3 linked regions of the Saccharomyces cerevisiae S288C genome follow. Changing the gene in region 2 together with the main gene of any one other region gives a genetic interaction. Each region holds a gene or a part of one and is shown on either strand. Other genes may lie near its edges.

What was found.
Region 1: mutations in APM1 (region 2) and THR4 together harm fitness more than expected from each alone (negative genetic interaction), as found in Saccharomyces cerevisiae (4 studies listed by BioGRID).
Region 3: mutations in APM1 (region 2) and VIP1 together harm fitness more than expected from each alone (negative genetic interaction), as found in Saccharomyces cerevisiae (2 studies listed by BioGRID).

Annotation. Positions count from the first base shown.
Region 1 is NC_001135.5:214,898-219,200, reverse strand, and holds THR4 (threonine synthase THR4), read right to left. Parts: upstream 2,505-4,303; coding exon 960-2,504; downstream 1-959. Other genes in the region: CTR86 (Ctr86p), read left to right, coding at 1-825; RSC6 (Rsc6p), read right to left, coding at 2,756-4,207. UniProt on the Saccharomyces cerevisiae protein: Catalyzes the gamma-elimination of phosphate from L-phosphohomoserine and the beta-addition of water to produce L-threonine.
Region 2 is NC_001148.4:50,020-54,611, forward strand, and holds APM1 (Apm1p), read right to left. Parts: upstream 2,653-4,592; coding exon 1,225-2,652; downstream 1-1,224. Other genes in the region: CUB1 (Cub1p), read left to right, coding at 1-939; THI21 (bifunctional hydroxymethylpyrimidine kinase/phosphomethylpyrimidine kinase), read right to left, coding at 3,479-4,592. UniProt on the Saccharomyces cerevisiae protein: Component of the adaptor complexes which link clathrin to receptors in coated vesicles. Clathrin-associated protein complexes are believed to interact with the cytoplasmic tails of membrane proteins, leading to their selection and concentration.
Region 3 is NC_001144.5:935,643-941,940, reverse strand, and holds VIP1 (inositol polyphosphate kinase VIP1), read right to left. Parts: upstream 4,401-6,298; coding exon 960-4,400; downstream 1-959. Other genes in the region: YLR410W-A (gag protein), read right to left, coding at 1-458; rRNA-processing protein UTP21, read left to right, coding at 4,708-6,298. UniProt on the Saccharomyces cerevisiae protein: Bifunctional inositol kinase that acts in concert with the IP6K kinases to synthesize the diphosphate group-containing inositol pyrophosphates diphosphoinositol pentakisphosphate, PP-InsP5, and bis-diphosphoinositol tetrakisphosphate, (PP)2-InsP4.

The DNA of each region.
Region 1 (4,303 bases), on a different chromosome or scaffold from region 2:
AAATTCACCACTTTGTTGCAGATATTGCAATTGGTTGTAACGAGTAAAGAAGATTGGAATACCTATGAGTTGACTGCAATTATGTCATGGTGCTACCCCATTCTGCAACGTCTTGCATGCAAGGATATTCCTGCCTTTTTCAATAAAAGTTGTAACGATTATGCTCCTTCAGTTGCCATCCAATTACACTCCACTTTACTTTCTTGCCTGGACATAATTTCTGACTTGTGCAAATTCAATCATGTTAGAAAATTCTTAATTTCGTATGACTCTGTGAAAATATTGGTATCTCTCTTGGATACTTTCCAAAAGAATTTGTTGAGGATTAATTTTTTGAAAGGAAACGGTGATACGGTGAATGAAATTAAAATCACAGATCATGAAGGTAACAAAATCGAGGACCGGTTATTAATTTTCAACCGTGTTAATACCAACGAATCCTTTATTAGGGCTGATAATTTTCCCCATTGTAAATTAGTAATAATCGAAATATTGGCATCGTTAGTGTATGCACATCCTGAAATCCAAGATCAAATAAGAGAATTAGGTGGTCTTGCATTAATTCTTTCCAATTGTGTCATCGATGATAATGATCCGTTTATCAAGGAAAGATCTATTGTTTGCTTGAAGTTTTTGTTAAAGAATAATGCCAAGAATCAGGAATATGTCAAAAAAATGGAAGCTCAAGACGTTGTTCAAGACGATGCATTGAGCAAAGCTGGGTTTGAAATATCAGTTGAAAAGGGCGGGAAAGTTAGATTAGTATCTAAAGAAGAAGACCCTGGGAACGAGAATTCTGAGATTATTAGCATAGATGAAGATTAATTTTATGGTTCCTTACTCTCGCAATCATGATTCACTTTGATTAACATTAAGGATAATCGTACTTCATACTCTCTATTAATTATAGAATTCTATATGTTATATAAGATAAAATATATTCATTAAAAAGGAAGATCTTATAATTTCATTTTAGCAAGTTCTTCTTCAATAGCGTTTTTGACCAATTCAACGTCAGCTCTTTCGATGAATTTTAATTTCTTCTTTAATGTGGATAGTTTCTTCAATTCCTCAGGCAAAACATCCTTTTCAAATGAATAATTGGAAAATCCAGACAATGCATTGTTTACAGCATCGGCAAATTTAGCTGGGTGAGCGGTAGATAGAGAAATGTATTGGATGGACTTGTCATTATCTTTTGCAATCAATCTTTCTGTGGCGCAAACACCGACAGCTGTGTGAGGATCTAAGATGTAATGTTTTGGATTTACAGATGATTCGTAGATCTTCTTGATTGTTTCAGATGTTTCTTCATTGGAAACTCTTTCTGATGTAAAGTCCTTTGATGCGCCTTCAATGATGGATTTGTCAACTTGGAACTTACCGTTGGTCTTCAATTCCTGGAACCAATTGTTGACGATTTCACCGGCTTTCAAATCATCACCATTAGCTAGGTATTCACGAGCTAGGTACCATAGTAGTCTTTCAAAGTTAGAAGAGATTAAGATATCCATTGCTGGGGATAAAGTAGCAGCAACCTTGTCTGATCTTTCGTATAGACCAGATTTCAAAAATCTGTCCAAAATGTCGTTTTCATTGGTAGCGATGGCCAGTTTTTCAATAGGCAAACCCATTTTCTTGGCAAAATAACCGGCCAATATATCACCGAAGTTCCCACTTGGCACAACGAACTTGACCTTCTTGGAGTCCTTACCGTTGGTGGCTTGGAAGAATGAATAAAAGTAATAGGTCATTTGGGCCAAGATTCTTGCCCAGTTGATGGAGTTAACAGCACCGACGTTGTGTTTAGAGTTGAATTCTTTGTCACCGAAAATAGCTTTGACGATATCTTGACAGTTGTCGAAAGTACCGGTAACAGACAAAGTCTGGACGTTTTCATCTGGAACGGTGGTCATTTGTTCTTCTTGAATTGGGGAAATTCTACCGGTTGGATATAAGATGAAAACGGAAACGTCCTTTTTGCCTCTTAAACCGTAGATGGCTGCAGAACCAGTGTCACCGGAAGTAGCACCGACCACAGTGATTTGCTTTTTCTCGCCTTCAGGTAAATTGGCGTTGGTTCTTTGTAAGAAGTATTCAAAAAGATTACCGACAAATTGTAAAGCAACGTCTTTGAAAGCGTAGGTAGGACCGTGGAATAATTCTAAAATGTGCAAATTCTCCTTGTCACCAGTGACGTTTTGCACCAAGGGGGTGACTTCATCAGAACGGAAAGTAGAATAAGATCTCTTGATCAAGTCCTTTAGATCAGCATCTGGAATCTCTTCTTGGGCAATGTATAGTCTCATGATAGCAAAGGCTAAGTCTTGGAAGGAGAGCTTTGACCAATCATTGAAAAGAGTGGCTTGGTCCACTTGTGGAATAGTTGGTGGAATGAAAAGACCACCGTCAGTGGCCAGACCTTGAATGATAGCCTCTTCAAAAGAGATTGTCTTTGGAGAGCTGGATCTGGTAGATCTGTAAACTTGGGAAGCGTTAGGCATTGGTGTGAGGGATGGTGGCCGTCTAAGAACAAATATTTGCTGCTATACTACCAAATGGAAAAATATAAGATACACAATATAGATAGTATTAAAAAAACGTGTATACGTTATTGATAGAAATGACTATACATTTTGTCGAAAATTTTTCATTTTCTTCTATTTCCTCGTTGTAATGACTCTTTTGTTCGCACGGTCACTACTCACGAGGAGGCGTGCAATAATTGCAGAAAGAATGAGATCATACAGTGATGTTATAGTCTTCCTTGGGAGTACAGTAGTGAGATATTGCCCATTAGTGACCTGTCATTGTTGTTGTTACTGTATATGTCACTCGTTCTTGCAGCATCTTCATTGAAGTATTGGTCGCCCTGCAGCACAAGCTCGTTTTGCTTGGAAGACCATAAGTAGTGAGTCAGCGTTTCTCTTGGATGCAAAGACAGTTCGTGGAAAAACTGGTATTTTTGAGCACTAGAGTTCAACTGCAAGGCAAGCTTTGTGATTTCACGTAGTTTTGCTGTGTCTTCAGCATCTGTTTCTTCCTCTTTTTGTAAATTTGGCTGGGGTTGAGGCTGGTGGAGAATGTGCGACACATCTACATCCAAGGTGGTAGCACCATAGGTGGTATCTTTGGAAAGATCAATTGTATAATCTAGGATGATGGGCGGTAGGGGTGATACCAGTTTGTTCACGGTTTGCACAACATTCATCAAGGGGAGGTGCGCGGCGTTTGTATCCAATACCTTTTGTAAGAGTGAATCTAGCTTCACTTCACCCAATTCGGGCTTATCCTTTGGAGTACTTCCCTCGACGCCATCATCGTCACCAGCACCGTTTTTATTGTTATTCTCGTTACTGCTGTCTTCGGCATCGTTGGAACCATCTTGAGCCTCTGTTTGTTCCGTAACAAACAGATTGTTGATCAAAATGTACTTGTAGATCGAATAAACCGCGTCATTAACGGAGCCCGTTTGCATACCTATCAAGGTAGCTAAGTTGGGCGAGTACTGTACTTTTCCACCGTCGACACCCCTCAACTGGATGGTTATACTGCATCGCAAATTATCCTTGCCTTGCCTCTTGATGTCGATACCATCAAACTCCACAACGTTGTTTTCATCGTAGTTCCATTCCAGTGCGTCTACAATTTCCTCCCTGGATTCTGCCTCTGCACTGTCCTCATCCTCGCCGTTGTCGTTATCGCCCATGGTGCTATCTTGATCATTGTATTCGGGTTGTTGCAGATTCAAAGGAAGGCTCAATGACGAATCGCGTTTCCTCTTCTTGCCCATGCCCAGCGGTTTCAGTCTTTTAAAGTCGACCGCGACACCTTCCAAAAACTCACTAAATGGGTGCTTTCCGTTTGCGGACTCGTGCAGAAGCTTACCTTCTATTCTCAGTGTCCATGTAGTCTTGCCTGAGTCCGCTGGGGTGCCAGAATCGCTGCGAGGGCTGCTTTCCGTAGTGTTGTAGACGTAAATCCTCAGCATCTCTTTATTGGGGGGATGGTCCTTGGTCTTGGTGTTTGTAGGTAAATTGATGGACGTATCCAGCCTCCTTCTTGTCAGATACAAATCTAGTCTGGAATCCATTTCTATCAATTTTTTCAAATCTGCCAGATTGGAGACCTTATCATCGGGCAGATACGTGGGGATATAAGCATCCGTTGGATATGTAACAGGGACCGGATTGGTCTGTGTTACCATTTCTATGAGCTGTTTTTCGTGCTGTATTACTATACGAAGCTGCCTTGTGAACTGTATATTTGTTGCTTTTCTTTCACTCTACAACGTTTTTTTCAT
Region 2 (4,592 bases):
ACAATGTCTAAATCTGATATTAATACCAACTCTTTATTGCAGGAACAAAATGATTTGCAAACGAACAATGAAAGCTTAACGGATGACAAACATTTAGTATCTCAAGAGTATGTCCATGAGAAATTATCAGTTTTGAAGAACGAATTAAGTGAATTAGAATCTAATCGTGACGATTCTGGTAAATTCAAGTCCTTGGAGTCTCATCAGGTGGCAGAAAAAGGCCAAAGTGTCCTTAATGGTTTATTGGATGATTGCCATGATTTAGTTAACGATTTATCACACCAAAAAAATGGCGGGTTGACTTTAGATCCATATTTACAGCCAATATATGAACAGCTGATTGATATAAAGACTACCTTAGAAAATTTAATGATCACAAGAAGATGGACTTTGAGAGAAACCGATTTATTTTCTTACCAAAAAAAATTGAACGAAATTGATAACAAAAGAATCAATGGTAAGTTTCCAACAAAATCTCAGGACTCAAAGGGGCAATCAATACTTTTATACCTGTTGCGTAGATGTTATGCCATAATTTATAAACTGTTGGAAAGTTCAGAGCCCGTATCTGAAGCGTTGCAGCCAATTCACAATCAACTATCTACAGTTCGTCGTTGCCTATTAGAATTGAAAAGAATGGGAGGTGTGAATAATGAAAGAGAGTTATACCCTTATCAAATGAAATTGGCTTCATTGGACAACCTGAGAACTGAAGGTATATTCTATGACTCTGATGGCAATATACCTGAAGGCCAAGGTATATTGAATGCTTTATTAGCAGAATGTTTTGATATCTTGCATGAATTAAAAGTGGAAGCCGAGGAAAAAGCACAGAACTCTACTTCAAGTGATGGTTCTGACGACGATGACAACGGAGAATCAGGCATAGACTCGAACTCAAACGACAGCGAGCCTGAATCTGAATATCAACAGGAATAGAGGAGAGTGTTTCTTTATCTTCCATTTCTCCCTATTTTCTTGGTAGAGGAAAACATTATAAACAATAAAATGAAATACAGAAAGAAAAAAAGTTATTCTCTTATGTCTATGTATATAACAAACCCTGAATGAGCATCTATATAAAAACAAAAATATATAAACAACTTTATGTCATTATCATAATTGTCAATGGGAGGGGGGAGAAAAAGAGGAATAAGGACATACGTACCCTGTGTCTTTGTCCATGCACCGTAGAAATTGCTTTTTTTATATATTTTTCAGACATTACGTCAGCCTTATTGTATAATCATCACCACTTTGCGTGATATATCTTACCCATGGGTAACTCTTATACTGCAATTTGGGTTCGTTAATTTTAAGATAACGTACTTGAATACCTGAAGTAGTAAAGTAGGGTATTTGAAATTTGATTTGGACAGGTCCCTTCAAGATTTCCGCGTTACTTTTTGGCATTGTTCTATTGCCATCCTCGTTATTTGATATTGAAGGCAGTCCCAATTCGGCAGACATTGAGTACTCTTTACCACCGGGAAAACTTCTTATTTTCCATAAGATTGCACTTTTTTCAGGGACATACTTTAGAGACCCGTGTGAATATTTAAAAGTCGGTGTATCCGCGTCGTCCGGGACCGGTATCAATATCTCTACATTAGTTGCAGTAGATTTTCTTTTAATTTGGGCCTTGGCCTTACAGTGAATTTCAATTCTAGAATTCGAATGAACTTGAACGTTTACATCACACCAAATTAACGGTTTTATCGTAGTAGATAGTCTGTAGTTCATTAAATCGAACTTTCCATCAGGAGGTATAAACGTTATAATTTTTTCATTCTCGAATTTGCTTAATCGGACACATTGATGAAATTTCAAATCTTCCAATTCAATATTAACTTTCTTCTTGTTTGTGGCCGATGATGATGTTATTGATGGTTTTTTATCAGTTTCTGTGTTATTATCGGATGTTGTCGCGCTCGCTGATGGGATATTTGTATCATCATCCAAATATTTGGAGAAAATGCCTTTATCATTAATACCTAATTTCAGATCAGGCATACCAGACAATTTTGAGTTAACCTTAACATCGCCGATAATTTCTGATCTCAAAACTTGACCTTTTTGAGTCATGAGCATATTAATAGATTCGACGATATCCAGAAAGGCTTCATTTTTCTTGTGAGTGATGCCTTCTGGCCTCCAACTGACTGAATTTGTTAGTGCGACGGGTGGTCTAGTAGCATTCCTCTTCTTCTTGGCGGATTTAACTAGTTTGAAGGATTTTTGTGTTATGTACTGTTTCAGCATCTTAGTTTCTGTGATCTGTGGTATACCATAATCCATCACTTCGTCCAGTAATTCATATATTATAACAAAATTATCTCTAATAGATTCTTCTTCAACGGTTTTTAAGTAGTCACTTAATACCTCCACTAATTTGTGCAAAAAAGTAAAAATGGCAGCCGCATTGGCACTAAGAGAAGTCACAATTGCCACCACGTATAGATCGTTATGCTGTATAAATAGATATTCCAGACCATTGTGGTTCAAACATGGAGGAATCAGATTTGATTGTTCCTCTAAATCCGAGAGTAATATAGGGAATTTGTCAATTGCAGAAAGCGGAATATCATCTCTATACCTTCTTGATAGGAGTGGTTTCCCATTATGATCGCAAAAATACACTGCAGAAGCCATTCTGTGTCCCTCCAAGTTCGTAATTTACAATTTTCAAAAATACTCCTATATTTAATTGTACGACTTAGTTTCTCTATATGCTTTTTTTTGTTCAGCCCACTTTCCGTTTAACTCTTAATTTTTCATCGTCTAGCAATATTTCAATACGTTCAATTAACATCGCTATCAACGACTTTCAAAGACTATTATCATAATTAGAGATACCCTTTCTCGCTTAGTTGAAGTTACGTCTAATGATGGCTATAGTATATCGAGCGTATTTTATACCATTGAAATATCTTCATCTTTATTACATAACTATTATAGATCCATAGCAGTCCTATTGATAGTATGCAGTAATTTTAGCGCATAGAAAACGTTTATATTGGGTCGAATGCTCAATTATTTTCAGATGGAGGAATACCTTGAAGAAAATATATATATATAAAGACGCACTATTCAAATAATCATCAGTGCCAACATTAACTGTTTCCCTAAGATGCGTTCAGTTGTGATTCTTTTTTTTTTATGTCGCAACTGTCTGTCGTAGTTCTGTCAGCTAATGTTACGAGAATGTCCAACTGCAGTGTTAGGTTTCTGAAAGATGAGAAAGTTTCTGCCGGATAAGTTATCAACGAAATTATGGTGAATACTTGAGGTATGTGACTAGGATGGTAGCGCCGCTAGAACGCCAAAATCAGAACGAAGATTTTGGTTTCTGCCGAACAATTTTTACTATATTAATAAAAATGAAGGAACATTCTTAAATTATTGACACCTATTTTTGCATAATTCATTATTTCTACGTATAACTTTTTGTATATTTTGTAAAAATCGATGTGTCTATTCATTCATATTCTAGAGCGGCGGTCCAGAAGTTAGCTTCCAATTCACAAACTTCAGCATATATTGTGACCAGTGTATCAAGTTTTTCTGGAGGGTATGTTTCCAAGATGTGATTCAACAGCTTTTCGCCTTCAAGCATAGCTTCGTGGCACCATGACGATGAGTAAGTTTCACACCATTCACGGTAAACGGAGCCTTCTGCTGCAGTTACTTCATCCTTGATCTTGGTCAAAGCGTGAACATAGCCCATTAAGCAAGGATTAAGAGCTATAACTAACTCCTGCCAGTTACCTCTTCTGGAAACATCATTAAAGTAACGACAGTAAGCCCTTAATGCAGGACCTCTTTGAATCTTTTGTAAGTAGTCGGGATCCTTAATTCCAAATTCCTCCCTTAATCTCCTTTCATGTTGGCAAAGCCCATTACGAACGCATTCGACAATAACTAGCTCTTTCTCCAGGTCTTCAAGACACGGGGATTTACTACCCGCGATGCAGGAAATCCTGGCATAATTGACTAAGTACAGGTAATCTTGTTCGATAAAAAATTGGAACTTCTTAGGCTCTAAGGAACCGTCTGCTACTTTTCTAACAAAATCATGGTTCACATAGGAGTCCCAGTGGGGCTTAACTTTAGGGTGATTTATCAGATATTTATAGAAACTTCCTCCAGGGATTTTGTTAAGAGAACTTTTGACTGGCTTTTTGTGTACGGCATCTGATGCAGTGAAACATTCGTCACTGAGCATTTTTTCTAATGGAATTTCGATGGCGTAGACATGATTAATTGGCCCGTTGTCCTTAACAGTCTCTTTCGTGACATCGCAGCCAATGGCCACCGCATTTTGGACGTACTCAATACCGCCATAAACGGATTGGGGAAGGGAATAACCGCGAGCCAAATTTGATGCAATGGCGGAAGCTAGGGTGCACCCGGTACCATGAGTGTGGGTTGTATTAACAAAATTACCCTTGAAGGTTATAAACCTTTGTTCGGCCCCTAAGTAAAGGACATCAGTGATGTACTTTCCTTCTTCATCATTCCATGGAATGTGACCACCTTTAACCAAAATATTGGAACACTTGGTGATTTTGGCAAGGTCTTTTGCGACTTCG
Region 3 (6,298 bases), on a different chromosome or scaffold from region 2:
TCAGAGTGTTGATTTTTTAAATCGATTGGATCAGGTGAGGAAGTACTCAGTGGTGGGATATACTGTGGCAACGGATAGTGTGGGTCCGGTTGATAATACGCAGGTGACGTTTGATAATGTGAACACGTCATCATAGATGGTTGTTGGTAATGTGCCCAGTTAGAGGCCATAGCTTTGTTTGGGGTCATCATGCCGTGCTGTTGGTACTGTCCATTCTGTGGAGGTGGTACTGAAGCAGGTTGAGGAGAGACATGATGATGGTTCTCTGGAACAGCTGATGTCCCAGGTGTTGTCTCTTGTTGAGAATTAACCTTAGTGGAATCTCTATCAAATTCCGGTAAATTGGAAGCTGAAACGGCTAACGGATCTTGATTTGATGGGACTTCCTTAGAAGTAACCGAAGCATAGGCGCTACCATGAAGAGAATGTGGATTTTGATGTAATTGTTGGGATTCCATTTTTAATAAGGCAATAATATTAGGTATGTAGATATACTAGAAGTTCTCCTCGAGGATTTAGGAATCCATAAAAGGGAATCTGCAATTCTACACAATTCTATAAATATTATTATCATCATTTTATATGTTAATATTCATTGATCCTATTACATTATCAATCCTTGCGTTTCAGCTTCCACTAATTTAGATGACTATTTCTCATCATTTGCGTCATCTTCTAACACCGTATATGATAATATACTAGTAACGTAAATACTAGTTAGTAGATGATAGTTGATTTTTATTCCAACAAGAAGGTTGCTCTTTATATAGGTATATGTCACTAATTAATGTGCTCTGACGCATATCCTTATGGCGCTAATTTGCTCGTCTAAGGGTTCAACGAAAACTCCGGACCTAAAGATCGCGAGCAAAATTCAATTAAGTTTTTTTTTTTTAAAAAAAAGTTGAGTAAATACTTATTTAGTTTTGGGTTACTAAATTAAAAATTGGGTGTGATCACTAATCTAATGTCTTGTTAACGGAGGTAGATGATGAAGATCCGGACGAGGCAGGACGTTTCAACTTCTCAACAGATACCGACTTTCTTCTGGTTTTGCGTTTCTGGAAACTCAAGTTGGGGCTCGTAATGTTTACTGGTGTAAATTTCGGAGGCATAATGACCCTGGTAAATTTGTTTCTCAATTTCTGTTGAACATAGTCCATATCCAAATGCTTCGTCAGGGAAATCTTTGGAATACAACTAATATAATGCCTGTCATCTAATTGAACATCTAACGGATCTTGAGTATGACACCCAGGAGACATTTTTAGTCTAATGGAATGCGATTTTTGACCAGAAGCATCCGTACTCTCATAAAGTTCAAAAGTGATCTGCGACAAGTAGTCTAGTTCTGGTAAAGCATTTCTAGCGATTCTCATTGGAATACCAGATTCGTATATGATATTCAATAGAGTGTAAATATGGGACTCTTTGGTGAAGTACGCAACACAAGCTGGAGTTTCTCTATTTTTCATGTCTCCTATATCATTTAGTATTTGCTTTGCCAAAGGCAACGAAGTTAACAAACCGATATCCAGTTTCTCTGCATCTGAAATACCATATTCTTTGGGGCAGATAAAATCAAACAATACTTTGGCCAGCTTATACAGCTCCCGCAACTGCATAAAGCGTGGCTCATCGAATTGAGAAGAAGATTTGGGGTTTCTTGCTGTAGATGTTTTTCCGCTTTCCAGAACCCATCCTAACGACCCAACACTATTACTACTGTTCTTTCCAGAATTGTTCATGCTATGACTGTCTATTATCTTAAAATTATTTTTGGCGAGAACGTTAATTGGGTATCGGTCAACTAAAGAATGACTGCCGAGTTCATCGGCGATAGCTTCATTTGGAAGACCCGGGTCAAATATGTTCTCTAGGAACTGCCTGTTGTGAAGAGCATCATACTTCATAGTATCATACAATTCAGAAATTTTAGAAGGATCGACTTTTTCAGCATTATTGAATTCTTTGAAAAGTTTATCCCACCTTTCCTTAAACAAACTAGGATCTTCAGAAGTACACCATCTTGTTTGCATCGAGTTGACATCCTTTTTAGCAAAGTTGTTATCCATAATTTTTTTATGGTAATTCATCAATTCAACCACTCGCTTTATGACTAAATATGGCTCCGGCATCTTTGAAGGCCAGGCAAATTGTGGGGGAGCTTCCTTACCCTCTCTTAAAAGTGGCTTCAACTTCTTTTTCACCTTATCCATTAAATCTTTGGCGGCATTACTGTCATCTAAAAGATCCTTTCTAATACTGATTTCATCGCTACCTAATTCATCGGCCCCAAAAAGAGCTCTGGTCCAGTACTGCGCCGTATGAAGAACACGTCTCTCAGACGATGAAAATATCTTGATGTTTTGTAGAATGCTCTTATTCAATAGGTCAAAATCTTGTCTCATTTGCTCTCCGAGTTCCGTAGCCTGATATTTGGCAGAATGAGTGGGTTCACCACCCCATTTCAAAATAAACTGAACTTTTTCCACTTCGTTCTCTTTATTTAAAACCGGTTTCAATTGTATTTTCGTACCGGGAAAATTCAGTTTCTTTTCTAGAGCGTTTGCTAACACTTTAATTTTAGCTGGATTTCCTGCTTTTTCATCTAACGCAATTCTTAAGGCCTGAAGAACAATCTTTAAATCATTTACATTCCGAATGACAACTTCTTCTTTGTGACCTTTTAGTAACGATATAAAAATAGGCGAAGTGAATGAATGTTTGAATTTCTGTTTTGGTGTTCTGTCCGCGTGACGGATAATGATAGCCAGTCCTTTGAATACCCACTTTTGTTCCTTTTCTTCACGAATAATGGGCAGATTCTTCTTTTCCATATCCATCTTCTTTTTGGCTTCAATGAAGGTACTTCTCAATATATTGGCGCATGAATCATAGTAAGCTTTGTTATCCTTTACAAAAGAAAATCCGTTAACATCAATGACGTAACTTTTACCAGAAACGCGAAGCAAATCGAAACCACAGATCATTTGTGAAAAAGCTTTGGAAACTTTCCCAGCAATGGTTTTCTCTTCGTCTGATAACTCAGTAATATATCTAACTTCTTTACCATGAGTATTTCTTCTAACTATACCATCAACCACAGGTGATTTCCTAGTTTCAGCGTGACAAAAGTTCTCACCAATCGTATAAGCCTTCACATCTTCGAAATTATCGGTATCCATAAACTGCTCATAAATGTAAGACCCCTCCGTACGAGGATGAACCAAAGTAGGATCAAACTCAGAAGACTTGTTACCAACTTTACGGAATAGACGACGACCGCCTCCTCCGTTCTTAGAATGATAGTATATATAAATGTTGTGGTCTTCACCATCAACGGGCTTTTCAACAAAGGGCTTAGTCATGGTTTTCCCATCAACTTCTAAAGTATCATCATCAACCATTTTCCATTCCGGTTCTTCAACGGGTTTAACTTCTACGCCATGCTCACGTAATTTTGCCCTTAATTCTTCGTTGGCACGGGGACCACCATCTCTACTGATTTCCAGTCTAGGAGGTGTTGGAACGTTGTAGGCTTCTAATACTTGTAGACATAATCTCCTGTCCCACAAAATCTTTTGCATTATTAAATCATTGATAATGAAAGGCTTGCGTAACTTGACGTATTTAATTGCTTTATCTAGGGGAAATCCTGAAGAAAAGAAAGATATCAAAAAGTCGCAAGTTGGCCAATTCTCTATTCTTTCATCTAGAATCACCTTATCTCCAAAAATGACAGTTTCAAATTCACCATGTTCAATTAAACGATTCAAAATGTGTCTCATTGGCTTTGAAAGGACTTTTGCATCCATTGCACATACCCCAATCTTCCCTACCTTGGGTAGCCTAGGTTTGGGATGACTAGTCGAGGATTTGCGTGAAGAAGCTGATGAAGTAGGTACAGAGTTAGTTCCCATGTTAGTCTGCTCAGCGTCCATTGTTCCTTGAGGTAAATGGGGCGATCCGGTCTTGGAGATGGAATTTATGTTATCTGCATCATTGACTATGTTAGAATTGCTGAGCCCCTCAGGATCAGCTTCTGACTTTGATTCACTGTCTGCCTTTTTTAAACCGGAAGTTGTAACTGTATTGGTGTTGTTTCCGTTTCCTAGTGCAGTGCTTATGGTTCTTTGCAGAGTATCATGCACGGTGAGATTCTCTTCACTGTGATCATCTTGAATACCGGGAGGTGGCAATTTCAAAGACATATTTTCGCTAGCTGACGTCTTAGGACTGAAACCCTCCAATATTGGTGCAATAGATTGCATAGCCTTCTGTGTGTTTTTGTTTAGGAAAAGGGGTGACATCTCAGAAGGTGCACTAGGTAAGTTATTTTTTGTCTCTTGTTGAGGAACCTCATCAGATTCAATCGGTTCCTTCTTTATCCCACTCATGACCTTCTGCAATATATTAATATGCTACGAGATGCTTTTGAATTTGTATGAAATGCTCAGTGGGTAATTTAAGTGGTGAACATATTGATTCAATGATTAATTGCATTTTTCCTATCTTAAATAAATGATTTTCTAAAAACATTTTTGAGCACGTGCTTTTTTTTTTTTAACTGAAAAATTTTGAGAAAAATTTCGCGATGAGATTGCTAATGAAATTTAATAAGTCCTAAGCACAATAAATATACAGCGAAACAGCAGCAAGGAATAAGACACTGAAAAGGCTATAGCGAGTTAGGAATAGTACATTATGTCTATCGACTTGAAAAAAAGAAAAGTCGAAGAAGACGTAAGAAGTAGAGGGAAAAATTCTAAGATATTTTCCCCTTTCCGGATTATTGGTAATGTTAGCAATGGTGTTCCTTTTGCTACTGGTACATTGGGATCTACCTTTTACATTGTAACGTGTGTTGGTAAAACATTTCAGATATATGATGCGAATACCTTACATTTACTTTTTGTTTCCGAGAAAGAAACACCATCCTCAATTGTAGCATTATCAGCACACTTTCACTACGTCTACGCAGCATATGAAAACAAGGTTGGTATTTACAAGAGGGGTATTGAGGAACATTTGCTTGAGCTAGAAACTGATGCAAATGTCGAACATTTGTGCATATTCGGAGATTATCTTTGCGCTTCCACCGACGACAATTCCATCTTTATATACAAGAAGTCCGATCCGCAAGATAAATATCCATCAGAATTCTACACTAAACTTACCGTTACTGAAATTCAAGGTGGCGAAATTGTGTCTTTACAACATTTGGCAACTTATTTGAATAAATTAACTGTCGTTACCAAATCTAACGTTTTACTTTTTAACGTCAGAACCGGGAAGCTTGTATTCACATCAAACGAATTTCCAGACCAAATCACAACTGCTGAACCCGCTCCAGTCCTGGATATTATTGCTCTAGGTACCGTGACCGGTGAGGTTATTATGTTTAATATGAGAAAAGGTAAAAGGATCCGCACAATTAAGATTCCGCAATCAAGAATCTCCTCATTGAGTTTCAGAACCGACGGTTCTTCTCATTTGAGTGTGGGAACGAGCAGTGGTGATCTAATATTTTATGATTTAGATCGCCGTTCAAGAATACACGTTTTGAAGAACATTCATAGAGAATCGTACGGTGGTGTCACTCAGGCTACTTTTTTAAATGGTCAACCCATTATTGTTACATCAGGTGGTGACAATTCCCTGAAGGAGTACGTTTTCGATCCGTCATTATCTCAAGGAAGCGGTGATGTAGTTGTTCAACCGCCAAGATATCTACGTTCCAGAGGGGGTCATTCTCAACCACCTTCATACATTGCGTTTGCTGATTCGCAATCACACTTCATGCTATCAGCATCCAAAGATAGATCATTATGGAGCTTTTCTCTGCGTAAAGATGCACAGTCGCAAGAAATGTCACAAAGGTTACACAAGAAACAAGATGGCGGCAGGGTAGGTGGTAGTACAATTAAGTCTAAATTTCCTGAAATAGTGGCTCTTGCAATTGAAAATGCCAGAATAGGTGAATGGGAAAACATTATCACTGCACATAAAGATGAAAAGTTTGCAAGAACCTGGGATATGCGAAATAAAAGAGTTGGCAGGTGGACTTTTGATACTACTGATGATGGATTTGTTAAATCTGTGGCCATGTCGCAATGTGGTAATTTTGGATTCATCGGTTCTTCTAACGGCTCTATCACCATCTATAATATGCAAAGTGGTATACTCCGTAAAAAATACAAATTGCACAAAAGAGCAGTCACCGGTATATCCTTAGATGGTATGAATCGTAAAATGGTTTCTTGTGGACTAGACGGTATTGTTGGTTTTTATGACT